Linked DNA regions of Saccharomyces cerevisiae S288C. The protein of the gene in region 4 binds, or shares a complex with, the protein of the main gene of each other region. Each region holds a gene or a part of one and is shown on either strand. Other genes may lie near its edges. The genes, in order: ARP1, ARP10, JNM1 and NIP100.

Evidence for each region.
Region 1: NIP100 (region 4) and ARP1 share a complex: the UniProt entries of both Saccharomyces cerevisiae proteins name them as parts of the dynactin complex.
Region 2: NIP100 (region 4) and ARP10 share a complex: the UniProt entries of both Saccharomyces cerevisiae proteins name them as parts of the dynactin complex.
Region 3: NIP100 (region 4) and JNM1 share a complex: the UniProt entries of both Saccharomyces cerevisiae proteins name them as parts of the dynactin complex.

The regions. Positions count from the first base shown.
Region 1 is NC_001140.6:362,032-366,584, forward strand, and holds ARP1 (actin-related protein 1), read right to left. Parts: upstream 2,123-4,553; coding exon 968-2,122; downstream 1-967. Other genes in the region: FUR1 (uracil phosphoribosyltransferase), read left to right, coding at 84-734; YHR130C (uncharacterized protein), read right to left, coding at 2,934-3,269; YHR131C (uncharacterized protein), read right to left, coding at 3,309-4,553. UniProt on the Saccharomyces cerevisiae protein: Core component of the dynactin complex which assists cytoplasmic dynein by increasing its processivity and by regulation of its cargo binding.
Region 2 is NC_001136.10:664,879-668,986, forward strand, and holds ARP10 (Arp10p), read left to right. Parts: upstream 1-2,125; coding exon 2,126-2,980; downstream 2,981-4,108. Other genes in the region: SPO71 (Spo71p), read right to left, coding at 1-32; TMS1 (Tms1p), read right to left, coding at 471-1,892. UniProt on the Saccharomyces cerevisiae protein: Pointed-end-associated component of the dynactin complex which assists cytoplasmic dynein by increasing its processivity and by regulation of its cargo binding.
Region 3 is NC_001145.3:855,321-858,688, reverse strand, and holds JNM1 (Jnm1p), read right to left. Parts: upstream 1,724-3,368; coding exon 602-1,723; downstream 1-601. Other genes in the region: GSR1 (Gsr1p), read left to right, coding at 1-392; glutamyl-tRNA(Gln) amidotransferase subunit HER2, read left to right, coding at 1,896-3,290. UniProt on the Saccharomyces cerevisiae protein: Component of the dynactin complex which assists cytoplasmic dynein by increasing its processivity and by regulation of its cargo binding.
Region 4 is NC_001148.4:218,442-224,485, forward strand, and holds NIP100 (Nip100p), read right to left. Parts: upstream 4,333-6,044; coding exon 1,726-4,332; downstream 1-1,725. Other genes in the region: phosphatidylinositol N-acetylglucosaminyltransferase SPT14, read left to right, coding at 189-205, 306-1,647; mitochondrial 54S ribosomal protein uL24m MRPL40, read left to right, coding at 4,702-5,595; COX10 (protoheme IX farnesyltransferase), read right to left, coding at 5,912-6,044. UniProt on the Saccharomyces cerevisiae protein: Motor-binding component of the dynactin complex which assists cytoplasmic dynein by increasing its processivity and by regulation of its cargo binding.

The DNA.
Region 1 (4,553 bases), on a different chromosome or scaffold from region 4:
CTTCTCCATTCTTGTACCTTACATATCTTATATATTATCCAAACAAAGGGTCTTTCGTTAGCAAACCTAGAAATCTGCAAAAAATGTCTTCGGAACCATTTAAGAACGTCTACTTGCTACCTCAAACAAACCAATTGCTGGGTTTGTACACCATCATCAGAAATAAGAATACAACTAGACCTGATTTCATTTTCTACTCCGATAGAATCATCAGATTGTTGGTTGAAGAAGGTTTGAACCATCTACCTGTGCAAAAGCAAATTGTGGAAACTGACACCAACGAAAACTTCGAAGGTGTCTCATTCATGGGTAAAATCTGTGGTGTTTCCATTGTCAGAGCTGGTGAATCGATGGAGCAAGGATTAAGAGACTGTTGTAGGTCTGTGCGTATCGGTAAAATTTTAATTCAAAGGGACGAGGAGACTGCTTTACCAAAGTTATTCTACGAAAAATTACCAGAGGATATATCTGAAAGGTATGTCTTCCTATTAGACCCAATGCTGGCCACCGGTGGTAGTGCTATCATGGCTACAGAAGTCTTGATTAAGAGAGGTGTTAAGCCAGAGAGAATTTACTTCTTAAACCTAATCTGTAGTAAGGAAGGGATTGAAAAATACCATGCCGCCTTCCCAGAGGTCAGAATTGTTACTGGTGCCCTCGACAGAGGTCTAGATGAAAACAAGTATCTAGTTCCAGGGTTGGGTGACTTTGGTGACAGATACTACTGTGTTTAAATAAATCACACCCGAACACCATCTTGAAGGTTCAGAACGGCTGAAGCCGCATATCAACTTTTGGTTTCTACTGTTTTAAATTTCCTTTCTCGTTTTAAACCTTTGTTGCCGTCTCTTCTACTATCAATTTTGTTGTTCATGCATGTTTAATTACCTTTTTTTGTAAAAATAATATAAACGTATCAATGGCTATTTATAACAAATATGCTTGAAAAATCTAACGACTCTGTTTCTTACATTAGGTTCGAATAAACACGGGTACTGTCCTCTAGCCAATCTGACTTTTTGGTCCAAAGTCTTTGAAAGGTAGATAACCCCGTTAAAATAGAACCACCAATCCATGTAGTATATTTTCTTTCTGAAGGGGCTATAATCTTTATCTTGGATGTTCCTTTGGTTAATGCCTCCAAATCCCATAGCATTCGGTCTCCAAAGCCTTTAAGCGTTGTAGTTCCGCCACTTAGGATTATCGATGACAGTAAAGGTTTCCTTAAATCCAGATCGACTTTCCAAATAGATTGCATGCACATATCAGATAATCCATCGTACCCTAAGCCGATGATTTGAGGTGAAAATAATATTTCTGGAGCACGATATCGATCATTCCCCACCTCTATACACCTCCCGTCGGGCAATTTGAATGTCGAGATTAAATCTTGAGTACCTTGTAAGTATTTCTCCTCTTCCTTTTTAATATTCTTGGCCAAATAACAAACTTTCTCTTTCATCGTGCGAACAATCTCTCGTTCACTGCTGGAAAACAACGAAACACCAGCTGATTTCCGTAGTTGAAATTGTAACTGCTCTGTGATATCTGCTCCTCCAATATCCATCCTCATCATAGACGCAGGTAATGCAAAGCCGTCATATATGGGAACAGTGCTACAGTATCCTTCACCACAGTCAACTACACAACCTGTAGTTCTCCCACTAGCATATAATGACAGAACAGCAGGGTTTGAAACGTACAAAGCCGATACGTCAAAGGTCTCGAACAATACTTGAGCCATCTGCTCTCTATTCTTCAAAGGATTCATCGGGGCTTCCGTAATTAATAAAGGATGCTCACCTATATTTTGCAACTGTAGGACTTCATTTAACACATATGACCATATTAGTTCCATAGAATCCCAATCTTCCACCACGCCGTGCTTTATGGGGTATCGTAATTTTAATAATCCACGCAGTTTTTGGGCATTGTTTCCAATAAATGTATCTCCTTGCAGACCTTCGAGCATAACTTTATCATATTTGGTATTTCCTACGAGACAATATTCCAGTGCTTTAGGCCTTTCCTCACCACTAAATCCTGCTTTTATGATCCCAGAACCATTGTCGATCACTACCGGTTGATTGTACAAAGCATAGCTGTCACTTAGCTGGTCCATTGGCTAACTTTCTTTCTAATTCCTCAATTCGTGGTATAGCATTAGCATGTACTCCTTGGTCTATGCCCTTTTATTAATTTGCTGTTTTATTGGGAATATCTGCTATTTGCTTCGCTATTATTCAATAAAGGTGTTTATCATTATTGATGTGCATCGCGAAAATGGCCACTTTGGAAATGAACTTTTTCTTGAAAAGATTAATACAAACGGAAAAAGAGAAGGCAATAGGAAACTCACCGTCACACAGGTGTACTGTGTCCTTTGCTTTGAGCTCTTGTTCAGAACATTATGCTACTTAGCATTCTTTTATGAGCTTTTTTCTGTAGTCTTATTATAGGTTGATGAAAGCGTTACCTTCAAGAAATGATTTTTAACGTGGTATAATAAACACTGTTTATCATGGTAAAACAGGTATTTCTTTTATTCTTTGGAATTACCAGACGATACCCATTCAAAATTCAACTTCTAATCAAACGTTGATCAATAAATACTGTATTATGTTGCTTGTTTGAAATTAGAGGCATTGCCTTTGTTAAATTGAAATATAAACTGGAAAAATGAAGCGAAAATAAAGTACTGTCTATAAACAAAAACCTTAAAATGATTAATGTTAACCTTTCTGAGCAACGAAGCAATCCATACGTATTGAAAGCTTTAGCTCTTGGAGTACGGTGTCGAGAAATCGAAGTAAGACCTAGTAGAAAATCATTAGTTTGTATAGACTAGTCAATGACAAAGTAATAGTTGAAAACAATACTGTCTTAGTTCGCAACCATTTATATATATTTAAACTTATTTTTTACAGCCCTTGCTAATTCCTGATGCCAAGTAACGAGGGGCAAATCATCTGAGTATATACGTACATATACATCAATGATGCCAATCGGAAATGCTTTAACATTTCTGAAGAATTCTTTAAAAGGTTACTATTTTTACTCAATTCGAGAAAATGCAAAATATAATTACCCACTTTTATGTAAACATCGGTGTCAAAATCGTGAAATATACCGAATGATAATGTTGAAAAGAAACTCAAGTGCAAAAGAAAAAACACGATCCAAAGTGTATAGAATGAAATAAAAAAGAAATAGAAAAACTCCTCATCATGTAGCATATATCCGATGATAATATATATACTTTTAGTCATGATATTAATTCTGCAAAAACAAGATTACTGCATCACAGCTTATGCAGTAATCTGTCCATCATCATCGTCATCGTCGTCGTCATCATCATCATCATCATCATCGTCGTCGTCTTCGTCGTCGTCATCATCATCATCATCGTCGTCGTCGTCATCATCATCCTCACCATCATCACCGTCACCGTCGTCCTCCCCATGATCTTCAGCGTCCTTTGTTGTTCCAACAATTGCATTCTTATTTTTACAATTAAGTTCTATCAACGCCGTAGGTCCCACGATGAAGCCTTTTAAAAAATGATTCTTCTGCTTCTGTAAGCTCTGGCGGTTGCTAAAGTGAATTTTATTACTTGTTTCAAAGGTTGGTCCCGAAACTGGAATATAGATAACCTTACCCAAACAGTCGTTACTATCTAGAAATGGTTTGATGCACTTCAGAGAATCCCTCAAATAACGCCTTCTTGAAATTTCCTTAATAGCTGGTTTCCATTTAATATCATCCGTTCCGTAAGGTATATTGGAGAAGCAACTTAGAGTAGAAGATGCTCGCCTTCGATTTCTTATTCGTTCTTCAATTAAACATGAATAATCACTTTCACTGCCATAAGCATAACCAATATTACTGTCATCAGTATCATCATTAGTATCATCGCCAGCATATTCATCGGTTTCACCGTCATTTTCGTCCTCATCGGTCTCAGTAGCGCTTTCATCGTCATTGATTTCAGCGTCACGGTTTGTGAGACATAACGACCTACTGCTTTGGGATAAATCTGTGGCGGATTCCCCATTAGGAGCTAATCCTGATAGGTATATCGAAGAGCTTTGAGGTTTAGGTCTAATAGATGCCTCATCCCTTTCATTGGCTACCAAATTCGACGCAACACTCCGTAATTCCTCTTTCATAACCGCATTTTGTGATTGCAGCATAATCTCGCAGCCATCAACGGAAAGATGCTCAATAGGAGAGGGTGAATGAACTGATTCACCCACTGTGCTATTTGGAAATTTGATGGGGACAACCTCCTCGCTAATTGCACGCCTCAATGACTGTCTTTGGGGCATGGAAATAGCTCTATTTCTGTGCATTGGACGCTCTACTTTAATGGTGGTATTTACTGGAACACCAGGCTCTGGATGATCTCCCCCGCTTGATTCATGGTGTTCATCATCTTCTTCCGTTTCAATAACACTATTTAAGTTACTTGAGTTGGACCTGAGTCTGTGAAGCTTTTCTGTGCGTGAAGAATTTTTAGGCCTGAAAAAGTTCTTAATTTTAAATTTTAAACT
Region 2 (4,108 bases), on a different chromosome or scaffold from region 4:
TCGTCTTCAACAACATTAACGATAGAATCCATATTTCGAAATGTTTCGAAGACAAATCCCTTTCTTTTACAATCACTGTATGCTGACTTTTGTTATTGATATTTTCACCAGACATTTCTTTAGCCACAATGATTTTGTTTTACCATATCTTTGAAGCACGGCGCAAACTCCGAATATCGCATAAAGAAGGTTGAGAGAATGTTTTCTACCTTTAAAAGAAGAAAAGAGATCCTTCGAAAACGGTCGATCGATAATAACTGTAATTGGCATTTCAAATAAATAGAGGATAGTTAAAATAATCCTCGAGAAGCGATATCTCAATTAGATAATTAAGATCCATTTTTTTTTGAGGGAGGTTTACTCATCTTCTTGAAACTAGTGCATGAGTATAGTAAAATTAGTGTTTCTACTGGGGGCTACTTAAAAAAAAGTTACATACATTATAAGAAAATCTTTTTGTGTTAGTCTATTTAATAGTAATTCTCGTAATCAAATCTATCGGGCATAATCGCTGGGGCTACCACTGTCCAACCGTAAAGGGCATAACATATCCATGCACTAACTATTTTTACCCAAGAATAAAAATATGTTCTTCCTACGGGTATAAAATCACCTACATCATCCTGGGTAACGTTTATTGTTAGTAAAATTGCAATCCACTGGGTTGCCAGAAAGAATATAACGTGGAACAGAGTGTAATTGTACTTGGTTCCAGTCCTTTCATCATCATTTTGGTTATCCATTGCGCCTGTAGGAGATGATGTCCCTAACCAAGCGGTATCATATAAGGCACTTTCCGGTAAAGATCCTTCTTCTACAGCTTGTTTAATAGCTTCATACCTCAACTGATTTCTTGTCTGTCCACCTAGTCCTTCGTACTCGATATCATTCCCGAGATATATAGCACCATTAGTATTGGTGCCTTGAAAAGCACTATTAGCAGCGGCTCTAGTTGTGGTGTAAGCAATCGCAATAAAAGTAAATAAAGAGCCCAAAATGATACTAAACTTACGGGTTCCACTAGATCTAACCAACGGATTACACATTTTGTCATCCGGTTCGGAAGACATGGCACTCATTGTCAAATAAGTACAGTAAACAGAAACCATACTACTTTGGGCCAGCCCACTTTTAGGGTTGGCCTCTTGGATCTTAGGATTCACCGATAAGACAAGCGTTATAACAGTTAATATTAAATTGACTGTTACCGCTGTTTGATTCATGTTACATTGTTGATGACAAAACATAACATACATAACAACAGTCATGATAATCGATGCGGTATACATTGAAGTTGTCCCTAAAACCAAAAATCGTTGCCAGAATGAGGAATCTTCATCTTCTGACTCAACGTGACTAATACACGTTTCAGCCCACTCATGAGCGAAGTCTACTAATAATATAAGCCCAACCAGGATGAAAATTGCTCCACTAGGGACTGACACCCACTTGGAAAAGAAAATATAAAAGTCATTGGGGATGACAAATGACAAAACAATGAGACATAAATACAGTATAAATTTTAAACTCCACCACGAATTCTGTAATGCTGCTCTTACGTCATTAGTCGACTTTACGCCCGTTAGTACAAGCGCCAATATCAAATGTAAGCATCCCAATGCAAAATTCAACCTATGAACTGTAAAAAATCCACATTCCCCAGTCCCAGTACATGTCTTCCCTGGCCATAGGATTGATTTGTTCGCAGAATAGGACACCCATGATATCAATGAGTTAAGTAAAAGCCAAACGGCGTACAGAAGTCTTGTCCCTAAAGAAGAAGATCCTAGGGAAGATGCAGTCTTAGTCACCAAGTTTGAGCAGCAACCTCCAAAACAGGACGCCACGAATGAGCCCGCCATGCTAACTGGCAAAGAAATTACGGCACCCATGGTAGATTGTTGTACTTTGTGATGGGTATTTTGATATGAAGTAAATCTGTTGTTTGATTATAAACTTCGTTTTGGGGGCATAAAGACCTCAAAAACAGTTCTCTTTTTTGTTAGAATCTAATTGTCGGAACTTCTATTGTAGCCGAGAGACATAAACAAAAGAGGTACAAATACTACAATATTCGACACTGTGAAATGATAAAAAAAATCTACCCAGGAAACCCTATGAGGAAATGTCGAATACTATTGTGATAGTCTATTTGGGAGCTAACAGAATCGAAATTGGAAGAAGTGCTGATGCGTGTCCACAAGAAATTATCGCCTGGAAAACAGGTAGTATTAATGAAAAAAATAGGGAAGAATTGAAAAAAATATTTGAACATTACTTCCAAATTTGCAACATCTTGGGAAATCGAGAAGTACAAGTGTTGATACTAGAAGATATCTTCATTTCTGTAGTAGAGAAAAGAATTATTTGTAGCATCTTGTTTAAGGAATTTGACTGCGCTCACGTTTCGTTTGTCCCCAGGGCCATTGTGCACTGCTTATCCTGTAATACAAGGAATGCCATAGTTATAGATATAGGTACCAATTATACTACATGCGTACCTATTTTCGACCTTAGACCTTTGCAACAGTTCATAAAATACTCAAAACGAGGCAAAAGACAGGTTGAGTCAAGAATTCCTCTCCCGGGCAGTCTCTACATGCCAATATTTTTTGACGAAGAATACAACTCTAAAAATTGTGAAGTAGATGAAACCCCGGTAATAAATCTTGTCAAAAATATTGTAGAGTCACTTCCTATCGACTTGAGAAGGCCACTGAGAGAAAATATCATTATAGTAAACATTGAAGAGGCGTATGAAACAGTAATAAGGAATTTATTCAAGTTAAAAATGGATACGTCCAAAATCCAGTTTCCTAAAAATTACTGGCAGGCTGGTTCTGCATGCGCGAAAATACTTCTGCACTATAAGGGGAGCAACATTGTAGGAATAGAAAGAGATGAGTTTTATAACAATCCTCATATTGCTCCTGATTGGTTTGATTATTACTTCAGAACTGGAGTGAAGCGCTTACAATAGGCTTTATGTATATGTAGAAAACAAAAACAGGAAGTGTTCTCTTCACCAAACTGCGTCTTTCCACAACAATTAGCCTTATTGAGCTTTTGATGTAAAAGTTTATGATAGTAAAGAGCTATTTTTAACAATAGAGGAGAAAAAATAAAAATGGTCTCTAGCGGGATCGAACCGCTGATCCCCGCGTTATTAGCACGGTGCCTTAACCAACTGGGCCAAGAGACCAATTTGGATCGAAAGTGTTGTATCTCAAAATGAGATATGTCAGTATGACAATACGTCATCCTAAACGTTCATAAAACACATATGAAACAACCTTATAACAAAACGAACAACATGAGATAAAACACGGCCTTCCCTAGCTGAACTACCCAAACGTATAAATGCTTGAACAATTAGTTTAGATCCGAGATTCCGCGCTTCCACCACTTAGTATGATTCATATTTTATATAATATATAAGATAAGTAACATTCCGTGAATTAATCTGATAAACTGTTTTGACAACTGGTTACTTCCCTAAGACTGTTTATATTAGGATTGTCAAGACACTCCGGTATTACTCGAGCCCGTAATACAACAGAAAGTTAACCATTAATATTTCACCTAATTACACACTCTCCTAAAGAATTTGGATTTGATAACTATCATGTCATTTGAAAGAGTAACTCGTTTTCAGATTTATTATTGCCGGAATAAAAATAAATAAATATATCGAATAATATTCTTTATTATTAATGTCGAATGAGTTGTTAGAAGACTTCATAACAATTATCGGATTTAATGGAAGCTGAAGTGCAAGAATTGATAATTTAATAAGATAATGAATTTAATATAAAATATAAACGGAGAGAGAATAATGTTGTTATATAGAATTGTTGATTCCCTTTTGCGGATTTCTTATATCCTCGAGGAAAACTTCTAATATATATCCAATATAATCGTTTCCAAATTGTGAAAGAAAAAAAAATCTTCAATACAGTGTATTAGTGCTACATAAAAACGCGTTAAAACTTGCATTCCAATTTATCAAAAAGTTTGCCAGGACATATAGGATATAAATGCATTGCGAAGTAAAACACTTCTCAAAAAATTAAAAAAAAAAAAAAAAATAAAACTAACGTATTCACTT
Region 3 (3,368 bases), on a different chromosome or scaffold from region 4:
ACAGACAATCTTATTTTTCCAACGAAGAAGGTCATGTTCTGTGTGATGTTTTCGGTCAACCCATCACACAGGCAGATATATCGAATCCAACTAGGGCAAGAGACGAAAGACCTTTGGACACTATAAGAAGTTTCGAGTATGCTGTCTCCGGAGACCCGGTCTGGGCCCAACAGTTGGAGACTCCAACTTACGGGTTCCGCGTAAGACCTGATTTCCCTGTGTTTGGTGCTGCTGTGACTTACGATGCGAACGGTATGCCACAGCAAGTGGGTGGTGCTTCCAGTCAAATGTATGGTGAACAAGCAGTGTATCAGCCACAACAACACGTACAGACTGAGGAAAAGCAAAAGAAGAAGAAGAAGGGATTGTTTGGTAGAATGAAGAAGAAATAAGCGCTTGATACCCTTTAGAGACTTTATTTTTTTCTTTTTTATGATAATTTCTGTTTTCCGCTCTTATTTTGGATATTTCATATTTCATATTGTTATTATTACTATTATTATATATACATACACACACATATTTTCAATTTTTTTGTCATATGGAGACGAAAAAATGAAGAATGAAATTAAATTGGTTTATAAAATTATTTCTCCGCCTTTTATTTGCTATTTCTCTGTAGAGCTTCGTCTTCGAGGGTATCAATTTTACGCCTGATCTGCTCCATATTTTCGCGAATTTTAACCTCTTGTTCATCGAATTTTTTATCCAGCTCATTTAAAGCCTTTAGCCAAACTTTTCCTTGTTCTTGGATGCTGGTTATTTGTGAATCCAGCCCTTTCGTGGTTTCGTACACCTCGATCACCCTGTTGTTCATTTTATTGAGACTTTTCATCCTCTCCGCCAACAGTGGTAGTGAATCTTGATATTGCTTGAACATGGAATACATACTATTTATCTCCTTTACTTTGTTTTCGGGCATAACAAGCTTGCTCACGGTGTCATCTTTCAACCTCAAGTCCTGTTGTATTTTCTTGCCTAACAATGAGTTTTCAAATTCCTCGTTCAGTTCTACGAGTCTATCCCGGAACTTTTGCAGCTTTCCTTCCGCCTTATCATCGCCTTGTAAAAGTTGAATACTTCTATATAGTTCATTGACTTTACTATGAACCGATTTCCTATCTTCTTCTGCCTCCAAAGCTTCTGGTATGCCAACAAAACGTTCCATTAGGGATATTTTCTGATCTAACTTTTGCAATCTTTTGATATTACTCGTATCAAGAATTATGTTTGGCAATATGACGGTATCTTGGCCTTCATATGTTTCGAGAAGCTTCTTCCTCAAATTTGTCAATCTACTAGATGATTCCGTCGCCAATTTTGATTGAATTTCGCACAATTCCTTGATTTCAGTTTGCATTTCAGATGTTAAATTTTCTATTTTCAACTCCTCCAATTCTTCTCTTATTCTTTCTAATTTCTGTTGCCGACTTTCATCTTCTTCATCGTTACTCAACTTTCTCGCATCTGCACAGTCTGATTGGTTTTGTCTATGTATCTTGAAAAGCAACTGATCTCGAATAGCCCTTCTCAAACTCTCAACATCTCTCCCTGGTTCAACGATGAGCCCATCTTTTCTTGAAGATGCTTCTTCCTGCTCTTCTTGTTGTCCATCTTCCTTCACTTCATTTTCAAAAATTTCTTGAGATTCCTCATTGTCAATGCCAATCAAGCTATCATAATCCACATTGATGGCAGGATCACTTAAATCTATGACGTTCATCAACCAGTAGATTTCTTTATCTTTCTTAGCCTCATGACTTATCTGCTCTTCTTTTTTTTTTTGAAATGCATTGGCTCCCAAAAAAGTAATAGTACATCTATACTTGTAAACACTATTATTTGTGCTGGAAAGATGGCCCCTCAATTGGAGTCCTAACTTTGATTATACAAAAATGCCACTGAAACGCTCCTTAAAAGAATCAATCGAAAGATTATCTAGTTTTCAATCAAAATATAATATTTTCACTAGTATCAATCCATCTCCTTATTCAATCACAAATAAAAAAGGTACAAAAGAAACATTGACAGGTTGCGTTGCCAGTATCAAGGATAATATAGTTACAAAAGATTTTCCAACCACATGTGCCTCACATATACTTGAGAATTTCAAGTCTCCCTTCGATGCAACAGTAGTGAAACTATTAAAACAGGCAGGAGTGCATATCTTAGGCAAGACAAATTTAGATGAATTTGGAATGGGTTCTGGGGGAGTACATTCAATAAGAGGGCCCGTAATTAACCCTTTATATCCTCATGAGGACAAGAAGATCATGGGAGGTTCATCGTCTGGAGCCGCTGCAAGCGTTGCTTGCGATCTAGTCGATTTTGCCTTGGGAACAGATACTGGTGGCTCCGTTAGGCTCCCCGCATGCTATGGATCTGTTTTAGGATTCAAGCCGTCCTATGGACGGTTGTCAAGATTTGGCGTAATAGCGTATTCTCAATCTTTAGACACTGTTGGCATACTTAGCAAAAAGATAAACGTCTTGCGAAAAGTATTTCATACGCTCGATAAATATGACATGAAAGATCCCACTTCCTTAAGTGTGGAATTGCGTGAATTGATAGAAGGGAATAAAAAGGTTAGGAGACCTTTAAAGGTAGGAATTGTAAAGGAATTTAGCCATGAAAGTATGCCCATTGGGTTCCACAGATTATATTTATCCTTACTAGAAAAGCTGATAAATTTAGGGCTTGAAATATACCCTGTATCCATTCCATCTGTAAAAAACTGTTTACCGATTTATTATACGCTATCACCCGCTGAAGCGGCTTCCAATTTATCAAGGTATGATGGTATCAGATATGGATACAGAGATTCAGAACTCGATATAAAAGACGGTATTTTATTCGCACCTACTAGGTCCAAATTCGGAACAGAAGTTAAGAATAGAATCATTCTAGGTAATTATAATCTTTGTTCAGATGCATTTAAGAACAATTTTATTAAGGCAGAAAAGCTACGAGTTAATTTGATCGATGAATTTGACGGGATCTTCAGATTTCCAAATGTTTTAACTAATTCTAAGGGAAATCCAGACGGCCTAGATCTACTGATAGTTCCCACATCGTCCAAGCTTCCTGGATCCATAAGGGACTTCGAAGAAGAGGAAGCCAAATCTCCGGCTAACTCGTATATAAACGATGTCTTTACTGTCCCAATGTCATTGGCTGGACTACCAAGTTTATCAATGCCTTTAAAAGAGAAGACCCCGATTGGCTTACAGGTAGTAGGTCAATATGGTGATGATTCCACTGTGTTAGATTTTGTCGAGTCAATATCATAAATTTGTGAGGACAACGTTAATCATGTAAATATTATTATTTTTACTTTATACCTATAGAAAGTTCGAAAAAATTAATCT
Region 4 (6,044 bases):
TTTTCATTGAATAATCTCATTCTGCTATTTTAAGTTTTTCGTTTGCAACCCGAGACTGTCGAGCTAGAAAATTTCATTGATACGATTTAAAAATAATCGATGCCAGTAATAGCCTCAAAAAACTTATGCAAAAATACGAGATACTATAAACTACAGCTTAGCTAACTCTAACATTATTATATAAAACAATGGGCTTCAATATAGCGTATGTCTAGCTCACAGCATGTGTTCCAAATACATTAAAGAAGATCTCTTTTGTTGTTGATACTAACCAGTAAAGTTGAGAGTTATAACAATGAAAATAGGATGCTGTGCGACTTTTTTTATCCACAGTTAGGTGGAGTCGAATTCCATATATATCATTTATCGCAGAAACTAATCGATTTGGGCCATTCTGTCGTCATTATAACTCACGCTTACAAAGATCGAGTCGGCGTACGACATCTTACCAACGGTCTAAAGGTCTATCACGTACCATTTTTTGTGATTTTCAGAGAAACCACTTTCCCCACTGTTTTTTCAACATTTCCAATAATAAGGAATATTCTTCTCAGAGAGCAGATCCAAATTGTTCATTCTCATGGTAGCGCTTCCACGTTCGCTCACGAGGGAATTCTTCATGCTAATACTATGGGATTGAGAACTGTGTTCACGGACCATTCACTCTACGGTTTTAATAACTTAACGTCGATTTGGGTGAATAAGTTGCTAACATTTACCTTGACAAACATAGATCGGGTTATATGTGTTTCTAATACATGCAAAGAAAATATGATTGTTAGAACAGAATTAAGTCCTGATATAATCTCAGTAATTCCCAACGCAGTGGTGAGCGAAGATTTCAAACCAAGGGATCCTACTGGTGGCACCAAGAGAAAACAAAGTAGGGATAAGATAGTGATCGTGGTCATCGGAAGGCTCTTTCCAAACAAAGGGTCCGATTTACTTACTCGCATAATTCCGAAAGTTTGTTCCTCACATGAAGATGTCGAATTTATAGTAGCGGGCGATGGTCCAAAGTTCATAGATTTTCAACAAATGATTGAAAGTCATAGACTACAAAAACGTGTGCAACTCTTAGGCTCTGTTCCACATGAGAAAGTCAGGGATGTATTATGTCAAGGTGACATATATTTACACGCTAGTTTAACAGAAGCATTTGGTACAATTCTAGTTGAGGCCGCATCTTGTAATTTGCTAATTGTAACGACACAAGTCGGAGGAATTCCCGAAGTGTTACCAAATGAGATGACTGTTTATGCAGAACAGACATCCGTTTCTGACCTTGTTCAAGCAACAAATAAAGCTATCAATATCATAAGAAGTAAAGCTTTGGACACTTCCTCTTTTCATGATAGCGTGTCTAAAATGTACGACTGGATGGACGTAGCCAAAAGGACAGTAGAGATATATACTAATATATCTTCTACTTCTTCCGCTGATGATAAAGATTGGATGAAAATGGTAGCAAATCTTTACAAAAGAGATGGAATCTGGGCTAAACATCTTTATCTGTTATGTGGAATTGTAGAGTACATGCTTTTTTTCCTCTTAGAGTGGCTATACCCCAGGGATGAAATCGATCTAGCTCCAAAATGGCCCAAGAAAACAGTGTCTAACGAGACGAAGGAAGCAAGAGAAACTTAAACTTTACACAAAACAAAGGAATGTTGTATCCATTTATTTACTGTATTTGAATGTTATAGACCTGCTAGAATCACTCAGTCATTTGTAATATGTAACAACATTTTGAGATTTGAGTCGTATATTTTTCCTCTTGCGCTTTAAATACGAAATGTAAGAATGATCTCTTTCATGCCAGAGTTCATCTTCTGCCAAAGGTTGATCAAGCTTTAAATCTAAAATCCGTGAGGTACTCACGAAGTTGAACATTTCTATCCCCAAGGTGTCCAAACTGTGGTTGATATGTTCTTTGAATGGTTGCTTATTTTCCACAGCTGGAAGCTCGTCTAACCAGCTGAAATCGATGCTCACTCGTTTCTGCTCTTTTATTTGTCGTCTTATGGTTTCTCTCAATTCCATGATTTCCGAAACTAAATTTACTCTATCTACTTTCTCTCTGTCTAAATAAATTTTGTTCAACGTATTATTATCCTTTATTTGATATAGTTTGAGCTCCATATTCTTCAAACGGTTTACTAGGTTGAAATTTTCTTCTTTCAGCTTGTTAAGAATTTCTGTTTTGCCACAATTTTCCTCATTTTTGTTATTTAACTCTACTTTGAGTGTTTTGATATTCTCTTCAAGGGTTTTCCTCTCTAAATCCCTCCCAATAATAATTTTAATTTTTGTTTCCAATTCAGTTAGCATATTTTCCTTTTGGACCAGTACTTCTTTGAGTCGAATGTTCTCTTCATTCAAGCGATCGCTTAATAACGAGTTTGAAAAATTGCCCTCCTTAATATTACATTGACTTTCTGAATCACTTGTTTGTTGACTGGGTTGCTCAGGAAATATAGTTATGTTTTCTAAGAGACTTTCTATTCCTTGAAAAAATACCTCTAGTTTTTTCAAAGAAGAAATACGTTTGTAATCTTGTCGCAAAAACAGTGCATCTGAAAAAAGTATCGTTAAGATAGAGGACAGGGTTATATCACAGGAAGGATATAAAAATAACCTATTGTCTTGTTTCGAAATTTCTTCCTTTCCGATAAGTTTATCTATTCTGGCAATAAGTGAAAGTGATCTCTCGTAAAGGGAACCAATAAGACATAGGGTATCATTGTCATTGAAATTGCTGTTCGTTCTAAGAAAAGCCAACAGCTTCGGAACAGTTGTTTCCAATATCGGATGAAGTATTTTTAGTATCAAGGTCACATCCTTATCTAGAAACTTATTATCTTCTAAAAACTGACAAATGGAAAAGGCGGTTTCCTGTTTAGAAGAAAACTTCCTTTGCAAAAACTCGCTTAGCCACATCGAAATCGGAGCAATATTTACTTTGAAACATTGTAATGTCGTTTCCAGGTGATCGGGAGTATTCTTTATGGTGTAAATATGAAGCGCATAACTGATAGAGCTCAACACTTTTAGAATTATATGGATTTCAATATTCTCCAACTTTCCAAAATTTTCACTTTCGATTACTTCGGCTAAATATTGCAATTGAGAGGAAAGAGCCGCCAAATGTGGTTGTGCAAATGGCTCATATATTTGGTAAAATTTCTTTAGCAATTTATTTTGATATAATTCCTCCTGTAAAGTGTTCACTTTTAGTTCAAGACTTTGAAATTTGTGAGATGTTTTGGCTTCAATAGATTCCAATGTTGCTTTTAATCTTGAATTTTCTTCGATATATGTGCCTGCTATCTCCTTTTCATTTTCCAATGCAGATTGCAAATTACTTAATTGCAGTCTCAGTTCTTGCTCGAGTTGCTCATAGGTAATTCTTAAATTTTCATCCAATTTTTCTTTTGCCTGTAGTTCCTCCAACTCATTGTTTAAAGCCTTTATATTACTTGTGAGTAGGATATTATCATTAGTCAATTTATCAACAATATTAGATGATTTACTTTGAGCTTCAATCTGCAAGGCAAGGTCGCCGATTGTATTATTAGTCTGTTGCAATTGCAGACCTAAATCCGATATTTTTTTAGATAATACTGCATTTTCTTCTAATAACTGAGTATTCTCCTCGAGCAGGTCCTCTTGCACCTTCATAGCTTTATCATATGACAACTTTGTTTGGTCGAGTAGTCCCTGAAGAAGATGGCTCCTTTCTAACAGTGTGCCTTTGTCGAGATCCGGTGCCATTACACTATCTGAAGCATCTAATAGGTGATTGAAATTATCCAAATGAGTTTTCATATTACCATTTTCCACTTTCAGTTCTTTGACTAGTTTATCCAATCTTGAGATTTTAGACAATAGAACAGTTTCATTAGTACTCAGCTTTTCAACGGAAGTTTTCAGCTCATGATTTTCTATTTTAATTTTATTTAATTTGGACGCCAATGATTCACATTTTACTTGTAGATTCTTAATTGTTTCTTGCGCTGCATTACCATTTAGCAAACTATGCTCATCGTCATCTGGTTTATAAAACTGCAACGTATCTTTCTTGCAGAAAAGACCATAATAACCACCATTTGAATTAGCTTTCTTCAGGTCGATATCAAAGTAACGAATACCGTTAGCGCTTCCATCATTCTTTCCTAACGGTTTATCTAGTTCAATGCCGTACCATATGCCTTTTGCAAATTGAGTTTCCCCAATGAATTTCACCCGCCCCTTCATCTCGTTGACTAGAACTGTGTCCTGTAAGCTTATCTTCTGCATATTTGTGTCAACTTGAACACCTGCATTGCGCATTTGTCCAAGGCTGTACTGCGAGGTTGATGGAGATCGAATCTAGAATAGTATTATGTACTTTGCAAAAGTAAAGTACAACATAAAGTCTAGCAGCATATGAGTAACTCTCTACAGTTACGCCAACAATCTCAGTGTGGAGGTTAGAGTAAAAAGAAAGCACCTTACAACTGTACGTTTACATAAGTGACTTTTCAACATATATGCATTTTTTGTTAAGCATTGTAAAATACCCGGTTGAAAAGCGACATGAAAAATAACGACATGTTAGATTCAAAAGTACCTACTGCTCTTTAACAGCTACTTAAGGATTACCTGATAAGAGTAATCCACCGTAAAGAACATTATCAGCAACAAAATTTGTAATCCATCATGTCTGGAAGCTATCAACATTTATCAAACGTTGGATCGCGTGTTATGAAAAGATTGGGGAATCGACCCAAAAACTTTCTTCCTCATAGTGAAAAGTTCATTAAAAAATCTACGCCTGAGTTCATGAAGTCAGATTTAAAGGAAGTAGATGAGAAAACTAGTTTCAAGAGTGAAAAAGAATGGAAGTTTATACCTGGCGACAGAGTAGTAGTAATGAGCGGGGCTTCCAAAGGAAATATAGCTGTAATTAAATCTTTCGATAAAAGAACAAATTCATTCATATTAGATGAGAATGGGCCCACAAAGACTGTTCCAGTTCCTAAACAATTCTGGCTTGAAGGCCAAACATCTCACATGATAACAATTCCAGTTTCAATTTTGGGAAAGGATTTAAGGCTAGTTGCTGATATTGACGATGAAAAGACCCCAGGAAAGACAAGAACGGTGGCAGTAAGGGATGTTTCCTTCAATGGTTCCTACTATGATGCAGACTACAAAAAGGTAATGCCATATAGATGCGTAAAGGGTCAACCAGACTTGATCATTCCATGGCCTAAACCAGACCCAATTGATGTGCAAACGAACTTGGCTACCGATCCTGTAATTGCTAGAGAACAAACATTTTGGGTCGATTCCGTAGTGAGAAACCCTATTCCAAAAAAGGCAATACCAAGTATTCGCAATCCTCATTCTAAGTACAAAAGGGGTACCTTGACAGCGAAAGATATAGCTAAGCTAGTAGCACCTGAGATGCCCCTAACAGAGGTAAGAAAAAGCCATTTGGCAGAAAAAAAGGAGTTGGCTGAGAGAGAAGTACCAAAACTAACTGAAGAGGACATGGAAGCTATTGGGGCGAGGGTTTTTGAATTTTTGGAAAAACAAAAAAGAGAATAAATGTACCAAGTGTATGCACTCTATTTTTATATTTGATTCTCTAGTGTGATTTTTTTAATCAGTATATCCCCTTCACTATTCACGTAGTAAATAAGTTATATTCGACCTGTATATATGAAAGCATAAAGTAAAGTTCAAAGAATATTCAGATATTGATGTGGGCAAACGTGATGACTTCAAATTACAAAATCTTTTCTTTAAAAATAAATTATGTGCGTATGTACATTATTTTTAACCAATAAAAGGGTTTAAATATTTATTTACAAGATTAATGACTGCCCTTTAAGCGTTGTCTCTTTATCTCATTGTACTAATGCTAAAATCGTTCCTGTGGTCGCTTTGCTTCACCAGGATATATCCAATCCCAGCGGCCTTTTTTATGTATAATGGCTAGGATTAGAATTGCCGGTAGGTGCAATACACTAGCCATAAAAGTTTTCCTTGCATAA